4 linked regions of the Mus musculus genome follow. The protein of the gene in region 3 binds, or shares a complex with, the protein of the main gene of each other region. Links are inferred from orthologs where the notes say so. Each region holds a gene or a part of one and is shown on either strand. Other genes may lie near its edges.

What was found.
Region 1: Strn (region 3) and Strip2 share a complex: the UniProt entries of both Homo sapiens proteins name them as parts of the core of STRIPAK complex. The link is inferred for Mus musculus from reciprocal best matches to the Homo sapiens genes STRN and STRIP2.
Region 2: Strn (region 3) and Strip1 share a complex: the UniProt entries of both Homo sapiens proteins name them as parts of the core of STRIPAK complex. The link is inferred for Mus musculus from reciprocal best matches to the Homo sapiens genes STRN and STRIP1.
Region 4: Strn (region 3) and Pdcd10 share a complex: the UniProt entries of both Homo sapiens proteins name them as parts of the core of STRIPAK complex. The link is inferred for Mus musculus from reciprocal best matches to the Homo sapiens genes STRN and PDCD10.

The regions. Positions count from the first base shown.
Region 1 is NC_000072.6:29,915,648-29,919,823, reverse strand, and holds the start of Strip2 (striatin-interacting proteins 2), read right to left. Parts: upstream 2,812-4,176; 5' UTR 2,750-2,811; coding exon 2,594-2,749; intron 1-2,593. UniProt on the Homo sapiens protein: Plays a role in the regulation of cell morphology and cytoskeletal organization. Required in the control of cell shape. Calmodulin-binding scaffolding protein which is the center of the striatin-interacting phosphatase and kinase (STRIPAK) complexes.
Region 2 is NC_000069.6:107,628,900-107,633,122, forward strand, and holds the start of Strip1 (striatin-interacting protein 1), read right to left. Parts: upstream 2,812-4,223; 5' UTR 2,782-2,811; coding exon 2,602-2,781; intron 1-2,601. UniProt on the Homo sapiens protein: Plays a role in the regulation of cell morphology and cytoskeletal organization. Required in the cortical actin filament dynamics and cell shape. Part of the striatin-interacting phosphatase and kinase (STRIPAK) complexes.
Region 3 is NC_000083.6:78,656,558-78,660,069, forward strand, and holds part of Strn (striatin), read right to left. Parts: coding exon 3,487-3,512; intron 1,468-3,486; coding exon 1,327-1,467; intron 459-1,326; coding exon 351-458; intron 1-350. UniProt on the Homo sapiens protein: Calmodulin-binding scaffolding protein which is the center of the striatin-interacting phosphatase and kinase (STRIPAK) complexes.
Region 4 is NC_000069.6:75,554,042-75,558,212, reverse strand, and holds the start of Pdcd10 (programmed cell death protein 10), read left to right. Parts: upstream 1-1,360; 5' UTR 1,361-1,491; intron 1,492-4,171. UniProt on the Homo sapiens protein: Promotes cell proliferation. Modulates apoptotic pathways. Increases mitogen-activated protein kinase activity and STK26 activity. Important for cell migration, and for normal structure and assembly of the Golgi complex.

The sequences.
Region 1 (4,176 bases), on a different chromosome or scaffold from region 3:
CATCTAGGAACTTCAGTTGTGGCTTGCATATGAATTGGGGGCAATCTTGTATGTTCACTACATCTGGGCAATTAGTGTCAGAATTGAATTCATTTGTAGGACATTCAGTTGGCATCAGTAACTATTGTTGGAAAATGCTCAGTTTTCTCACCCATAAAATAGGACAATAGTAAGGTTTTCTTCACTGGGTCACTGTAAAGACTAAGAGTTAAGTACAAGAAATGCCCTTATCATGCATATCTATCTATCTATCTATCTATCTATCTATCTATCTATCTATCTATCTATCTATCTATATCTTGATTTGTGCCAATTGTAATTCTCTTCTAGCAAAATTTTCAGGAGTTCTAGGAAAAGAAAACTATTTTCCCTAAGGATTTTCTTTACTGGAAAACAAAGAGGGAAGGAAAAGCAGATTTGGGCACTGCAAAGATGACAGGGGACGTACTAACAGTCATACCCTTTGCCTTAGAAGGTGGAAGTAACACTAATTTTTCCAGCAAGGCTTTTGGAGGCAATGAGCCCAGACAGAGATGATTACTGCAGTTGTTCATTTCCAAGCATGAAGAATGCAGCTGCGGAAAGTCAGGAGGTGAAACTCCGGGGAGCCACACTGAGCTCACTGGCAAAAGCAACACACTACGAGAGCCTTTTTCCTGCAGGGGACTGAGACAGGTGGGGATTGTGCCATGCCTCTACTTCAGAAGGAAGACCCAGCCTATCACTCTGGGGTCATTTATTTGCATATTGTGTCTCCCCACCTTTCCTGGAATGCTTGCTCTAGAAGGGCAAAGACCCTTCTGCCTTATTCACTGATATATCATTAACATCTTGTAACTTCATTGCTAGCCCCTCAAAATATTTGATCAAGAACAATGTTTCACTTCCTCCGTTTTGAGCTGTCCTCCAACATGGCCTCACCACCACAATAGTCCTCTGAAACCATGAGCCAAGATTAAACTTTTCCTTCATCGAAAAACACACCAATGTCTCTCTTGAGGAAGGAGGTATAAGGCACTTTTAAAAGAAAATCCCTACAAAGAAACCCTGTCTGTACAAGATGGTGACTTTGGGGGCAGTTTCCCCTGCTCCATTTACCTTTTAGGAACTAGGAGACGGGGGTGAGAGCTTAATGGCAGTGTATATGCTAGTGTTGGTCTCTGTACAACAAATAACCAAATAGACAGATTGATCACTTTGGAAACTGTGAAATACTATTTAAATGAATCACCACAGACTAGGACTCCCTCTGCCCCTTAACGAGAATGATGACAGTTATAAGTACTGACCAATTAATTATATGAACTGTTTAAAAGGCTTTGTGTTCGATTATCTCAACCTTCTGAGTTATTCAGTGGTAACTGTTTTACAAAAGAAACTAGGTTAGTTAATTTGCCTAAAGCCACACAGATAATAAATGGAGGTACTGAAACAGACAGACAGACAATTGGCCAGACAGACACTGAAACTTGGTGGTTTTGGCCATTCACTGTCAGCCAAGTGTCTGATCTCAGGAGAGTTGGTTTTATCTCTTTTACCTTTTGTCTCTAGATGACCAGACCCCTTTTCTGCTGCTGGGGATCAATTTAGAGTCTTGTGTAAGCTACACAAGCACTCCATCACTGAGCCACATCCCCCCAACTCCGTGGCTTCTACGTAGTAAAATGAAAGGTTAGGCTCACTGTGGTAGCATATTTTGTAATCCTAACACCTGAAAAACAGAGGCAGGAGGATCAAAGCTCTCCTCAGTTACACAGTGAGTTCAAGCCCAGCCAGGGCAAGTTGTCAATAGACGTTGCCATGGGCTGTCTCAAATAATTAAATCCAGATGAAATCGAATCAAATAAAGGCTAAACCAGATGACCTTCACATCCCCTTCCACATACATTTCGTTCCCCCTGAGTCCCTGCTTGTATGCAGTTTTGCTCTTGGTTGATAGATGGAATATGGCTAGATAAAATGTAGGGGAATAATAATAATTCATTCCTTTCCATGTCCCAAGTTAGTTTTTTTTGGTTTTGGTTTTGTTTTTTTCCTAAGAAAAGGTGGAAGATATTTAAATAGCCATCCCATTAGCTGCATCCTGGGACTGCTACTCTCAAACGTCGCCCTGGTCCTATCCCAGCTTGAATCCTGTCTTTCAACCCTCCTAGAAAAGGGGCGAGCTGTTCGCGGAAGGCGCTCCCTAAGCCACCGCCATCACCCGAGGGCAGGAGATATAGCAAGGGGAAGGCTGGTGCTCCAGGCTGGTCTGGTCCAGTCCAGTGCCAGTTGCTGCAGTGTGAAGAGGGAGGGCGTGCTGCCCGCCAGCCCACCCTCCCCTCCCGCGGCAGAGCTCGGGCTCCCGCCCCTCCGTCCAGTCCCTGCACCTCTATGCGCTGGTTCCCCATCGGTACACCGGGATCCAAATTCCGGCTTCACCGGGCGGCAGCTGTCAAGTATCTGGAAAGTATCTGTTACGCTCTTCGCGCCGGTTAGGAAAACCGCAGGCCAAGGCAAGAAAGCGGGCGACCCGCAGCGGGAAGGGACCGGGCTGAGGGCCGCTCCACCTCAGCCGCCGCTTCCCGCTGGCGGATACCTCCGGGTTCCTCACCTCCGACTCCCGCCGCTGGTTGCGGAACGTTTCCCTGCCCTTGGGCACGGCCGGCTTCCCTTTGCCGCCGTTGCCGTTCCCGTTCCCATTGCCGTTCCCGTTGCCGTTGTCATTAGCAGGAGAGCCGGCGGGCCCCGGTGCCGCGGGGTCGTCCATGCTGGGAAGGTTCCCTTCAGCGGTTCGCCTCAGCGGCTCCCTACCGTAGCTCCAAGATCTCTGCCCAGGGCGACCCCGCCACAGCGCGCGCCCGGGACCAGGCCCCGCCCCCTGAACTCCGATTGGCTGTAACTACTCTCCGAGGCCCCGCCCCGAGATGCGATTGGCTAATCAGCCATCCAGAGGCGGGGGCTCTTTCAAGGAATATTTTCCCCATGGACCCCCGGCATTTTTACTGCTCAGTTGCTGGTAGCCTGGGACTAGTAGACTCCACGTCCAGCTCCACGATTCGAATTCTGAACCCTGAGCGCAAGGCGGCTTAGCTCCGTGCTGCATGCTCTTTTCAGTGCTGTTCCTGTCCCACATAGCAGCCTTTTCCTGAGAGCCCTAGTCCATCCCTGGTCCAAAGTGCCTACGTTTCGGCGGTACTAGACCCGGACCCCCTCATCCAGGCTGCTGCACGCCTGTGACATCCCGCTTTGTCGCAGAAAGGGCTTGGCCTTCAGGATAACCTGAGCCACCACACCATAAACTTACCCTCTCAGGAAGCTTTCGGAAGAGAACTCTTGGAGGAGAGAATGAGAGTTGCGGGGAGGGACCTAACTGAAATCCCTGAGGGCTGCTCCCTGTCATTTGTCCCTAGCTGTGTGGGCGCCTTCTTTTTGGTGCGAATAGATGGCAAGCTCCCACCCTCACCCGCTGCTCTTTCCTTCCCATTTCTAAAACAATCCTAATCTAAGTCTAAGATGTTGAGTTCGATCCCCGGGTCCTCACTTGGTGGAAGGAGAGAATGAACAGCCAAAAGTTGTCCTTTGACACCAGACCTCCACACATGCTCCTGGTGTCCTCCCCGATTCCCATATACAAACAAATAAATATTTAAATTGAAAAGAAAAAAAAATCCTACGCCCTAAGAGCTAAAAGTAACCAGAAGGTAACCGGGTAGTTGAAGGCTGTGGATTCGGCTCTCTCCCGAATACAATTTAAATATATTGGCAGGTCTGGCTTGACAATGGATGAAGGGAATGGGAGGGACCAAATCGCTATGGTAACCCATGACTTTAAGACAGTGAAAGGATCATTGAGTTGGGACTGTGCCAAGCGTTGTATGTGTTTTCTTGGTACCACACCTCTTCCGGACAGGTTATTTTTTACGAATCCAGTTTTTATTGATGAGGAAATTCTGAAGCACAGAGAACACCCAAGGATTACATTAAGTCTTGTCTCAGTGTGGTAAGTATGCTGCTCTATAGAAGAAACTTCCGTTCACTTGGTTTACTTCAGTCTTGGCGTTTCAATTGCTGTGATAAAAATCCATGACCAAAAGTAACTTGGGTAAGAGAGGGTTTGTTTCATCTGATAGCCTACAGCTCATTACCTAGGGAAGCAGGAACTGTGCTTTCTGGCTTGTCCCTCCTCGCTTTTTA
Region 2 (4,223 bases), on a different chromosome or scaffold from region 3:
GTACAGTTCAGCACAGAGCACCTTCCTAGTAGGTGCTAGATCCTGGGCTTAATTCTCAGCATGCAGCTGGGTGGGTGAGTGAGATGGAGAGTGGGGTCAGGGAAAACCTTCTAACTGATAATGACCCCTGACATGACATAATATGCCCACAAGCCATAACTCTATTCCTTATTAATGGGCACTAATGGACACTTCCATACACTACTGAGCTTCTAGGCTAGAGACAGAGTTTAGTGGTAAAATGATTACCTACCATGTGTAGAGTCCTGGGTTCAAGTCCCAGTCCCATTAAAACACAACTAAAATCAACATTTGTATACATTACTGAGGTTGAGTTTCATTTACCCAATGGGAATGACAAAACTCTGCTTCAAACTTAGCTTAAGACCTTTTTTTTTTTTTTGACAGTTTCATTCCCATTATATAATATATTGTGGTCTTATTCACCCCCAAATCCATTACCATTTCTTAGCCCCCCCCCCCCAGTGTATTTTTATAGAGACAAGGTTTTACTATGCAGCCCAGGCTGGCCTTGAACTCTGATTCTCCTTGCTCAGCTTCCGGAGTGTTGTGACTGGAAGCATGCTCGACTGCCTTGGCTAGTTTTGAGGACTAATAAAGTTTACCTGGCACATACTGAGCCTCCTTGTGCTCTAGGCACTGATCAGATCCCCAAACTACTGACTTCAGCTGTCACCAGAAGGGTGTGCAGCATCAGCACCTCCAACACAAGGACACAGATCGATGTGATGGGCCTTCCAGATGTTGAATCCAGTGAAATTAAAGGTAGGAAGAGAAATAAAAACATGTAATAGAGGCTGAGGACATACCTCAGCAGTATAGTGTTTGCCTACCTTGCACAAGGCCCTGAATCTGATTCTCAGCACCACATAATAACACGAATAAGGGGTGGTGCACACCTTTAATCCTAGCACTCAAGAGGCAGATGAATCTCTGTTGAGTTTGAGGCCAGCCCCATCTGCAGAGCAGAGTTCTAGGACAGCTAAAGCTACACAGAGAAACCCTGTCTCAAAAACAAAAACAAAACAAAAAACAAAGAAGCAAACAAACAACAAATAAAATAAAATGCACAAAAGGGTATTTATCTGACTATTTTGTGGCTTTTCAGGAAAATTTAAAACTACTTTACCTGCTGAGCTATCCCGCCATCCCTAAAGCACTTATTTTAAATGTATTATGTGTTTATCTGTGTGTGTATACATGTGCCCATGGAGGACAAAAGGACAGTACTGGATCCCTAGGAGCTAGTGTGCTAATAGGCAGTTGTGAGCGGCCCAACTTGGGTGCTGGGATCCTCTGAGAGAACAGCAAGTTCTCTTAACCACTGAACCATCTCTCCAGTCCACTCAAACATTTAAAAAGAGAAATTTGAAGGTGTAGTTCAATTCTCAGGGTTCTCTTCAGAAAACCTGGACAAGTCTGGTCATTAAAGGTCTTACAAACTTAACTTCCATACTCCTTCGTACTTAAGAGATCACTGAGAAGTAGCCACTGATCACCCATCATTCCACAACAAAAGGCTCCTAAAAGGTCCATCTTTTTCAAAAAAGCCACTCTAAACTCATCCTCTCAACTCTGGGCTTGTTCCTTTGTGACATAAGTTATCAGAATTTGAGCCTGCGACAACAACAAAATGTTTGGAGGGAACTGATTTCTTAGGCTTAAAGACACTATCTTTAGTATCTGGTACTAGCTGAAGCATCAAATTTGAATTTGAGGAATTCCCTCTCGGTAAGTGCCTGGCTGTTCATCACACTGGAAGTTGTCTCAGGTGGAGGAGATTGCGTAGTAAGCGCTCTGGGAATGAATGTGCTGATGAGGAAGCCCTGAAATGCTGCGACGAGACGGGTGTGTGTTCATTCATGAATTCTGCAAACGGAAGCAGTGGGAGGAATTTTAACTTGGGGCGAGGTGAATAGCTCCAGACAGCGCGGGCAAAGGGAATCGCAGCTCACTAGCAAGGAGGAGAATCCGGCGCCCTTTGTGTACTTCTGATCCCTTCACAGCTCAGCAACTGGGCTCACTGGGCATGCAAAAATACTTGGCAATGTCTGGCCGCGGTTTGATCCAGCGCTGACTAAAATTCGGAGGGAAGCCACAATGTGCTCTCTCTGCTACTCACACAACCTGGGGCCGGCCAAGCAGCACTAGAGAGAGAAGCCCTGTTCTAAGCGCCCGCTAAACTCTCCTGGGTCCCTTCGCTGCCAACTGGCGTGGCCCACCACCCTGCTAAGATCAGAGGCCGGAAAGGATGAGGGGCTAACCAGCCAGCAGACCACCGATTTTGCACCCCAGGAGGGCTGTGCCTCAGGCCACGCCCCCGGGGGCGACCGGCCATCCCCGGCTCGGGGACCTTCTTCCCCCGGCCGCAGCAGAGTTGGTGACAGGGCTCCGGGCTTTCCTCCCCGGGGCTGTGGCGGCTGCCAGCCTAGCTAACTGCACGGTTCCCGGTAAAGTGACAGCTCCCAGGGTCCCTGTCAAGCCGTCGGGAAGCCCGGCTGGGCCCGGATGCCGCCCCGGTCTCCCGGGACCCCCTCTGTCACCCGCCCGGTGCCAGCCTCGCCCCCCTGCAGCTCTGACCTCCGAGTCTTTGCGCTGGTTGCGGTTGAACTCGCGGGCTTTGCCCCCCGGCAGGAGGCCTCCGGCGGCCCTCGGCGCCCCAGGAGGAGGCTGCGCGGTGGCAGGCGGCGGAGGAGGTGGCGGCTGCGGCTGCTTGTTGTTCACAATCAGAGGGCCGGGACCGGCGGCTGCCGGCTCCATCTTGGCTGCTCCACACCCCCGGCTCAATTCGCGGACGGCCTCCCGTCAGGCAACTCTCGCGTGATTTCCTCCAGGAAATTTCCCCAATCGCCATATTCAGTGTGGCTGCGTGTGTCGAAAGCCGCAACTGCCAATCACCTCCCAAGGTCTTTCCTGGCTTTGTCATTTAGTTTCCCCTCCCTCCTTCCCGTGGAACTAAGCCGGAGACGTGCGGCTGGGCTCGCAGGAATCCCTTTAGATGTCTTTTTTATCCATGAGACTTAACACTTTAATTCGTTGTCTATCATCGCTTTGCCTGTCTTTAGAGCCCTCCCTGTTCAAGGTGAGGCAGGATGAAAGGGGAAATTAGGGAGACATCATTAAAGAAAGCAATTCCTGACTCATGGGTCTAGTTGACACGTTTTCCTAGCAAAGAATTTCTGTACAATTAACAACTGGTTGTGGCTTTTCTCTAACCTTCCAGCTGAAAAACCTCCAAGTCAGTAGGACTCTGTAAGAAACACCTTGTGCAACCCTGGGGACTCCTGGTTTTACTTATCAGATTATAACTCCATCCAAGACACCTCTGGAGCCACGTTAATAATCTCACTTATCAAAACAGGGGAAAAAGCCGGGCGTTGGTGGCGCACGCCTTTAATCCCAGCACTTGGGAGTCAGAGGCAGGCAGATTTCTGAGTTCGAGGCCAGCCTGGTTTACAAAGTGAGTTCCGGGACAGCCAGGACTATACAGAGAAACCCTGTCTTGAACTTGAAGTGAAGAGAGACAGAGAGAGAGAGAGACAGAGAAAGAGAGAGAGAGAGAGAGAGAGAGAGAGAGAGAGAGAGAGAGAGAGAGAGAGAGAGAGACTCTTGGGGGCTAAGGATAACAGTATGAAGTTGTATCTGTCCTCAAGCCACTGACAAATACTTTTAAGGATATAATAATGAACAAAAATAGGATTCTAGTCTTCGTGGAGTTTACATTCACATGGGGGAGATAAACAAATGAATAAATAAAACTGAAATTGAAAATATAACAGAGAAATCATGGGGAAATGAGGGTGTGTTTAATAATCCCTTAGAAGTGGCTCTTGCTTTTCTGCCTTCATTTTGTAGCTGTCTCGTTTACTCTGAATTACCTGCTCACATCTGTATTGACTCAAAGAGCAATCATCCAAAAATGGTGGCCTCTCACCTCATTCTCCGTCACGTCTGAGTGCCAAACACATAGGAGTAACCAAGATGGTTTTAATGTTACTTTTTACAGTGTCCTCCTCCAGAAACCTCCCTCCCCAAGAAGCAGGTACAAGACTCTTGGTCACTGGCCTCAACCCTCTAGACATCAGGAGTGGCAAAGCCTCACAGAACACAGCATCCCCGGATGACGAACAGCTCTTTCTATCATGGCCTGTGCACCCTGGAGGAGAAAGAATCAACTCCTGAGAACCAGCTTGTCCCTTAAG
Region 3 (3,512 bases):
CTGAACAACTTAAAGTAAAACCCATCACCGGCCTCTGCCTCCACAAGTTTCTGTTAATGCTCACTACTCATGGACTGTTACAGACCATTTCTACCAGCGCCTAGGTGCGTGGCTTTAGAATATGCTTACTATTAAACAAACTAAAAACCATCCCATACTGTATGGAACCATCTGAGAAGACATTAAGTGAACAGAAGCGGCCTGCAGCGTGCTTCCATGACTACTCCGTGACCGTGGAGCGGCCATCAAGACCCACAACTAGCTTGCTTTTAGTAGGTGCTCATGGCTGCTTTGGGTTCTTGTTGCAGTGGGTGTGGCTTCAGCACGATCCAGTCTCAGAAAGCTCTTACCTGTATTGTTATCGTAGAACTTGATGTGCCTGTCTTCATGAGCAGTGATGCTGATTGGGAGGGTAGGATGGCTGATGACTCTGTTTATTTGGCAGGAAGAACTGGATGCTAAAAAGGAAAAATTGAAAATGATTCAAATTAGTCAAAGTATTTTTTTTTTCCAAACAAAGGCAGAAAAAAAAATAATTCAACTTTAGTCTGGCTGCAGTCAATTACCCAGTCTCCAGCTACAGTGTTGTAAAATGAGTTACCTGAGCTAAACCACGAGCCACAGCCACAGGTAATGACAAGTCAGAAGTCCCTTTTCCACCCCGATACACACTAGAGACACTGATGACATCACGTCTCTAGCTTTGCTCCTTAGTAAAGTTCTAATAGCTGGGCATGGTGATGCACAGGCAGGAGGATCTCTGTGAGTTCAAGAGCAGCCTGGCTCATCTACATAGAGAGTTCCAGGCCAGCCAGACATTCAAGTGAGATCCTGTCTCACAACAAAAACACACCAACCAAAAAGGTTCTATCATCACTTGAACACAAGTCATCTTCAAAGTTAAACCTCAGTTCCTTCTACATACAGAGCTCTATTCATATAGTTGTGATCAAAACATAGATACCATCGTTCCTTGTTCCTTCTTTGCAACTTAATAGGAAAAAAATTCATCATCAGATTTTGAATTTTTAAGTAGCATACTGACAATTGTTGTTGTGTACTTTTTAAGAATTTTCAAAGAAATTAGTTACTATACTCTGTCTGTTATTTCCACACACAACAGAAAATGTCACCAGCCATATGGAAAAAGTTCTTCATGTGAAGTTTTTCTGTTGTTTGGTTGCTTAGCCTATATTGAAGTTAAAAAACAACAGCAACTGTTTTAAAGTAAATGTGTTCTCGGGCGTGGGCACTACAACAGTTTAGAACTCAAGCATTCTTTACAGTGACTGTGGCAGTTATACTTTTGAAAACTGGTATACATACTTGAATCAACATTGGATTCTAGCGTGAGAACTCGCTGCTGTGTTTCCATGTTAAAGATGCTTGTATATCCCTTGCTGAACGATGCTACCATATGGCTCGGGTCGCTGCTCACCAGATCCACAGAGGCAGGAATTCCCAGCTCTAAGTTTTAGAAATATTCAAAGGAATGACAGTTTACAGTCCACTTGACAAAGTGCTCAAAATGTAGCAAAACAAATCAAAGTATGACCAACTTAGATAAATAATGCTTAACATTAAAACAAAAGTTATTTTTTAACCTTTCAGTAAAGAGTATTCCTTTCTAACCTGTGTCTACATTATTATCCTTACCTGTTAAATGTTTTCTACCAAAATATCACTATTTGCAGATGACATGATAGTGTACTTAAGTGGCCCCCAAAAAATTCCACCAGAGATCTAAACCCAATAAACAACTTCAGTGAAGTAGCTAGCTATACAATTAACTCAAACAAATCAGTGGCCTTTCTCTACACAAAGGATAAACAAGATGAGAAAGAAATTAGGGAAACAACACACTTCAAAATAGTCACAAATAATATAAAATACCTTGGTGAGACTCTAATTAAGGAAGTGAAAGATCTGTATGACAAGAACTTCAAGTCTCTGAAGAAAGACATTGAAGAAGATCTAAGAAGATGGGAAGATCTCCCATGCTCATGGATTGGCAGGATTAATAGTCAAAATGTCTGTCTTGCCAAAAGCCATCTACAGACTCAATGCAATCCCCATCAAAATTCCAACTCAATTCTTCACCGCGTTAGAAAAGGTAATTTGCAAATTCAAATAACAAAAAGACCTAGGATAGCAAAAACTCTTCTCAACAATAAAAGAACCTCTGGTGGAATCACCATCCCCAAACTCAAGCTGTACTACAGAGCTATTGTGATAAAAACTGCATGGTACTGGTACAGTGACAGACAGGTAGATGCATGGAATAGAACTGAAGACCCAGAAATGAACTCACACACCTATGGTCACTTGATTTTTGACAAAGGAGCTAAAACCATCCAGTGAAAAGAAGACAACATTTTCAACAAATAGTGCTGGTACAACTGGCGGATATCATGTAGAAGAATGCGAAATGACCCATTCTTATTTCCTTGTACAAAGCTCAGGTCTAAGTGGATCAAGGAATTCCACATAAAACCAGAGACACTGAAACTTACAGAGGAGAAAGTGGGGAAGAGCCTTGAAGATATGGGCACAGGGGAAAGATTCCTGAACAGAATAGCAATGGCTTGTGCTGTAAGATCAAGAATCGACAAATGGGACCTCATAAAACTGCAAAGCTTCTGTAAGGCAAAGGACATCGTCAATAAGACAAAACGGCAATCAACAAACAGATTGTGAAAAGATCTTTACCTATCCTATATCCGATAGGGGGCTAATATCCAATATACACAAAAAACTCAAGAAGTTGGACTCCAGGAAACCAAATAATCCTATTAAAAATGGAGTACTGGGCTAAACAAAGAATTCTCAACTGAGGAATACCGAAGGGCTGAGAAGCACCTAAAAAAATGTTCAACATCCTTAATCATCAGGGAAACGCAAATCAAAACAACCCTGAGATCCCACCTCACACCTGTCAGAATGGCTAAGATCAAAAATTCAGATGACAGCAGTACTGGCGTGGATGTGGAGAAAGAGGAACACTCCTCCATTGCTGGTGGGATTGCAAGCTTGTACAACCACTCTGGAAATCAGTCTGGCGGTTCCTCAGAAAATTGGACACAGTTCTACTGGAAGATCCACCAATACCACTCCTGGGCATATACCCAGAAGATGCTCCAACTTGTAATAAGGACACATGCTCCACTATGTTCATAGCAGCCTTATTTATAATAGCCAGAAGCTGGAAAGAACCCAGATGTCACTCAACAGAGGAATGGATACAGAAAATGTGGTACATTTATACAATGGAGTACTATGCAGCCATTAAAAAGAATGAATTTATGAAATTCTTAGGCAAATGGATGGACCTGAAGGGTATCATCCTGAGTGAGGAAACCCAATCACAAAGGAACTCGCACAATATGTACTCACTGATAAGTGGATATTAGCCCAGAATCATTGTTTTGTTTGCTTTTTTAGAGTAGGATGTTCAGACCTGGAACTTTTCACTCTGAAGGAGCGTACCTTGGTTATCATTAAATACACTCAGT
Region 4 (4,171 bases), on a different chromosome or scaffold from region 3:
GTTATACTTAGGATAGGTTTAGCCGGAACCCATCCTATCTTATTATTTGCTTCTTTAACCCATATCTTTTGCAATCCAAAGACCCTGCAATACAACCGGTTATCTTGGATAGACTGTCCGTGGCAGGACAATCTGATAAACTAACACAAGCGTCAGGCACTGAAGAGGACAAAGTTATTTTCTTAGTGAAACAGTTACAAAGTGGTTCTCTATCAATGCCAATTTTGCCTTTTTAACAGCTACGCATCTAGCTTGACACCATCCACCTGGTACTCAATTAGCAGGGCTTTCTTCAATCTTGTGATCTCCCAGACCAGTTTTAATGGTGCAACTCAAAACAAAATCCTTAACCACGCCCTTAATATCCCAGGCAGAGTTACCTTTTGTTTTTTGTTTTTTTTCTCTCTCTCTACCAAAGTCTGTAATTGTACGTAATTGTACTGAAAAGGTTTGCACCGCGATCCTAAGTCAACATAGCACTCTTTCCTCCAGTATCCAGGCGTTCCTATTGTCAGATGCCTTCCTCCCCAGGTTGCTGTGCTGTAGCCCGCAAGTGGCGCCCACGCTTACCTCCTTCACACCTGCAATCCCCGCTCGGGATGCTGGAGAGGATGCTGGGCAGGCTGAGACTGCTCCGGATGCTGCTCTTGCCTCTCTCCAGGGAAACTACAGACTAGGCTGAGCTGAAGCTTCTTCTGAGATTCAAGCTCCGCCTTCCCCGCCTCTAATTGGCCGAAGCTCGGGCTGCGGCTCCTCCCACTGCCATCTGCGCAGCCTAGGCGCAGAGCGGTACCCGAGGTCTCTTAGTTCCTGGTGCTCTGACCCCTTCATTTCGGACTTTCTCCCCTCTGGCATCGCACCTGGCCCTTCCTCAGGTCCTGCTTAGCTCTTTTAGCCGGCTGGTCCAGTGAACACGGGAGTGGGCTGTCCTTTGGGGGTATGGGGGTACTGTTGCTTCGGAGTAGGCGGAGCCCACCGGTCTAGCCCCTAGAGCCTTCCTCCCCGCCTACCCATGGACTCAGCCCAGCCTCCTGTCGCTTGCTACCTCTGGCCCCCCGCCCTTTTCTTTACACCCATCCGAGGGCACCTCCCATCGGTGGGCGTGGCGTTGTGGGCTATCTTCTCATTCTGATTGGTGCAGGTGAGACTCGGCCCCGCCCTCCCTCGTTTCTGGGCGCGCTCTCTCTTCATCTCCTCCCCTCCCTCAAAGACAGGGAACTCTCTTCTGATTTGCTAGAAGTGTCCCCACCTATTGCCTAAGGCGTTCTCGCACAGCCTTCTGGGAAATGTAGTCTTACTATTGCAGGAAGTGCTAACGGAAATGGAGGGCGGAACTACAAATCCCCATCGGGCCTTGCGCGACTCCTGCTGGGCAGGATTCCGGACAACGCCTGGTTCCTTTCGGGTCCTTCCGGCGTCGCCGGAGTGAATTGATCCGGGAGTTGAAGAGGGCTCCAAAGGTGGGAAGTGAAGTCCGTGCCTCAGTTGCCGGTAAGGCGAGGTTTCTCGGTTCGGGTCCGCACGGCTCCGTGGGCAGCCAGAGCGGCCTGGGGTCAGGCGGGGACCGAGGCGGAGGTGCTGAGGCTAGGCTCTGGCCGGCGGGGCGGACGGGTGGGGAGCCGGGCCTTGTGGGCGTCAGCGAGGTCTCTACGCGAGCTGCGGAAAGCTGGGTTTGTAAATGCCTCCTGCCCAGCCCGGCCCGGCGCCTCCAGGAAGTCCGCTGTGGGTTTGGGTGGAGGGGAAGGGTGAGGTCGGCCTCCCGGGTCTCCACTGACCGAGGGGGCGGATGTGGTGGGGTGAGGTCCCGGGCAGGTGAGGCTAAAGCTTGGCTAGGCCTGGAGGGAGCGTGGGTGCCCGGGAGTCGCCTCCCGGTGTGGCTGGGGTTATGCCCTTTGAGGGAAGAAGAGAGACAGTGTTGACAGTTCCGACTCAGTTCCAATTTCCTCTCTGAGGAGGTGATTCTTAACTCGGAAGGTTTGTGCCTCTTGACTCCAATACGTCAGATGGATGTATACTTCTCAAGTGCCCTCGAAGCGCTTTCACTTTGGGATGCTAATGAGACTACTGTAGAAGCAAATGACGTGCCCAAGGTCACACAGATCTTCAGAGTCTAGTCCTCCGAAAGTCCAGTTTCTGACCAGAGTTGTCGGCTTAGGAAGAAAGAGTGGGGAGGTGGGTGGTAGTACTGGAAGCAGATAGAAGAAGTTGCAAAGTAGTGTGCCTGTTTGTCAGAAACGGTTGTGAGGTGCAGAGAGTTGGTTTGTTGACGTGGAGTGGAAGCTTTGCCAAAGCATCCTCTCTAATGTTCTGTAAAACAGGAAGGATCGCTTTAGCTTAGATCTTTACCCCTTTTTCTGGGGTCTACTGAATGATAACACTCACTTTCCACACGCCATTTTTAAAGGATAGATAATATTTAGGAATAGCTCAGTGTTGCCATTAAGAGAATAGTCCTTTTCATTTCTATTTTCTTACCATTTTCAAAAACTATGGGTGAAACTTTCACAGAACTTACTTTACAGATATTCATGCTTTCATTAAGTGAAAATTAAGTGCAGAATCTTGGAGAAATTGTACCATGTTCATTACAAGAAGTGACCCTTTGGGGGGGGGGGTCAGGTTTTTACTTTTCTCTCATTTTCTTCACTCCATGTGTAGACAGTAAAACATACACTTGTATATTTTCTTTTCTTGGCATCATCAGTGAGTTTTAATTCATTCTTATTTAATGTTAATGAATGATAAAAATGATGCTTCTATATTGAATGGAAAGAACTGCAGGCTTACTATGTAAATTAAAATATAAATACATAGTATGTACTGTAAGTATATATGCTATATATTGAATGTGCTTTGCTTGCCATGATTAATATTAATTTTTTTTTAATGCAAAGCTGTTTCTGGGATCAGAAGAACCAGTCAAAATGGTCTTGTTTGAAGGGGACTTTTAAAGAAAATGGAGAGTTGTGGTACCATAAAATGAAGCAAAATCAGGAATAATGTAACACCACACGTCACAGTAAGGGAAAAGTCACTAACAAAAGGGAAATTATCTGGGATTAATTGGTTTTGAAGTGGAGTTTGAAGTGCATTAATTTGAGTGGGCCATATGTAAGTCAGTGCTGGTAAAGCAAGAATGCTAATATATTTTCTAGATGACAGTGTGGACATTTGTTGTTTGCTGGGAAAGGTATGAAATAAGTTTTAAGTGGCACACAGCTGTGTTGGTTATGGAAGGACTTTTTTAACAACAAAAAAAGTTTTGTCTTTGATTTAGTCCTACTCCAACTCTGTCTGTATCTCTGAGGCCCATCATACTGTCCTGTTTCATCGTCACTACAGTGTAAGTGCTGAGATGAACAGTGAGATGAACAGAGAAGATGATTTTGAACATCCTTCAGGCTCTAGCTAGAGCTCACAGATCGGATGTTTGCCTGTAGTGTGCAGCTCTCTTTGCCCACATTTGTTCCCTTAAAGAGCTTTGCATCAACTCTCAGACACTATCCATTGCAGGACTTTGGAGGTTTTCCTTAAAGAGCCATCTCTCTCTTAAAGAGTAGTCTGTAAGAACAGGGTCTATATATTATTTATCTTTTTAGTCTTGGTAGAATAATTGAGTGGCTAAGGGGAATGGAAAAGGAATGGCTAGGTGACTTTCCCAAGGTCATATGACCTGGAAAAGATCAGCTTATAATTAATCCATGTATTTTCACTATAGGTTTTAATATTGTGTTCAAACTTCGATTATTTTATGTAAGAAAAAGACTGACCATTACAGATGTCACTATCTCCTTATTCTGTTTAATGCTACTAATTTGTCCTCAATTTCCTGAATGTCTCCAAACTTATTCTCAGCTGTCACCTTTTTTTCTCATATAAGTTTCTTCCTGATTTGGGGACAATTTTACAAATTCCAACTTTCCACCTGTCTAGTATAAGGGAGTTTTATTTTCTTTTACAGCAAAACTTCTGTGTAACTTAGCATTTTAGAAAACCTTGCTACTGCCTTTTTAAAAAGCAAATAAGATTCATTATAACAAAATATAGATATGGAAGAAGGTTTTTATGGACTCTATTCTTCCCTTAGATTTTAACTTCAAAACAATTATTTCACTTACCTTGTAGCTAAGGACACCAAAACTAGAAGTAAATTTACTCCTTGGGACTCAGA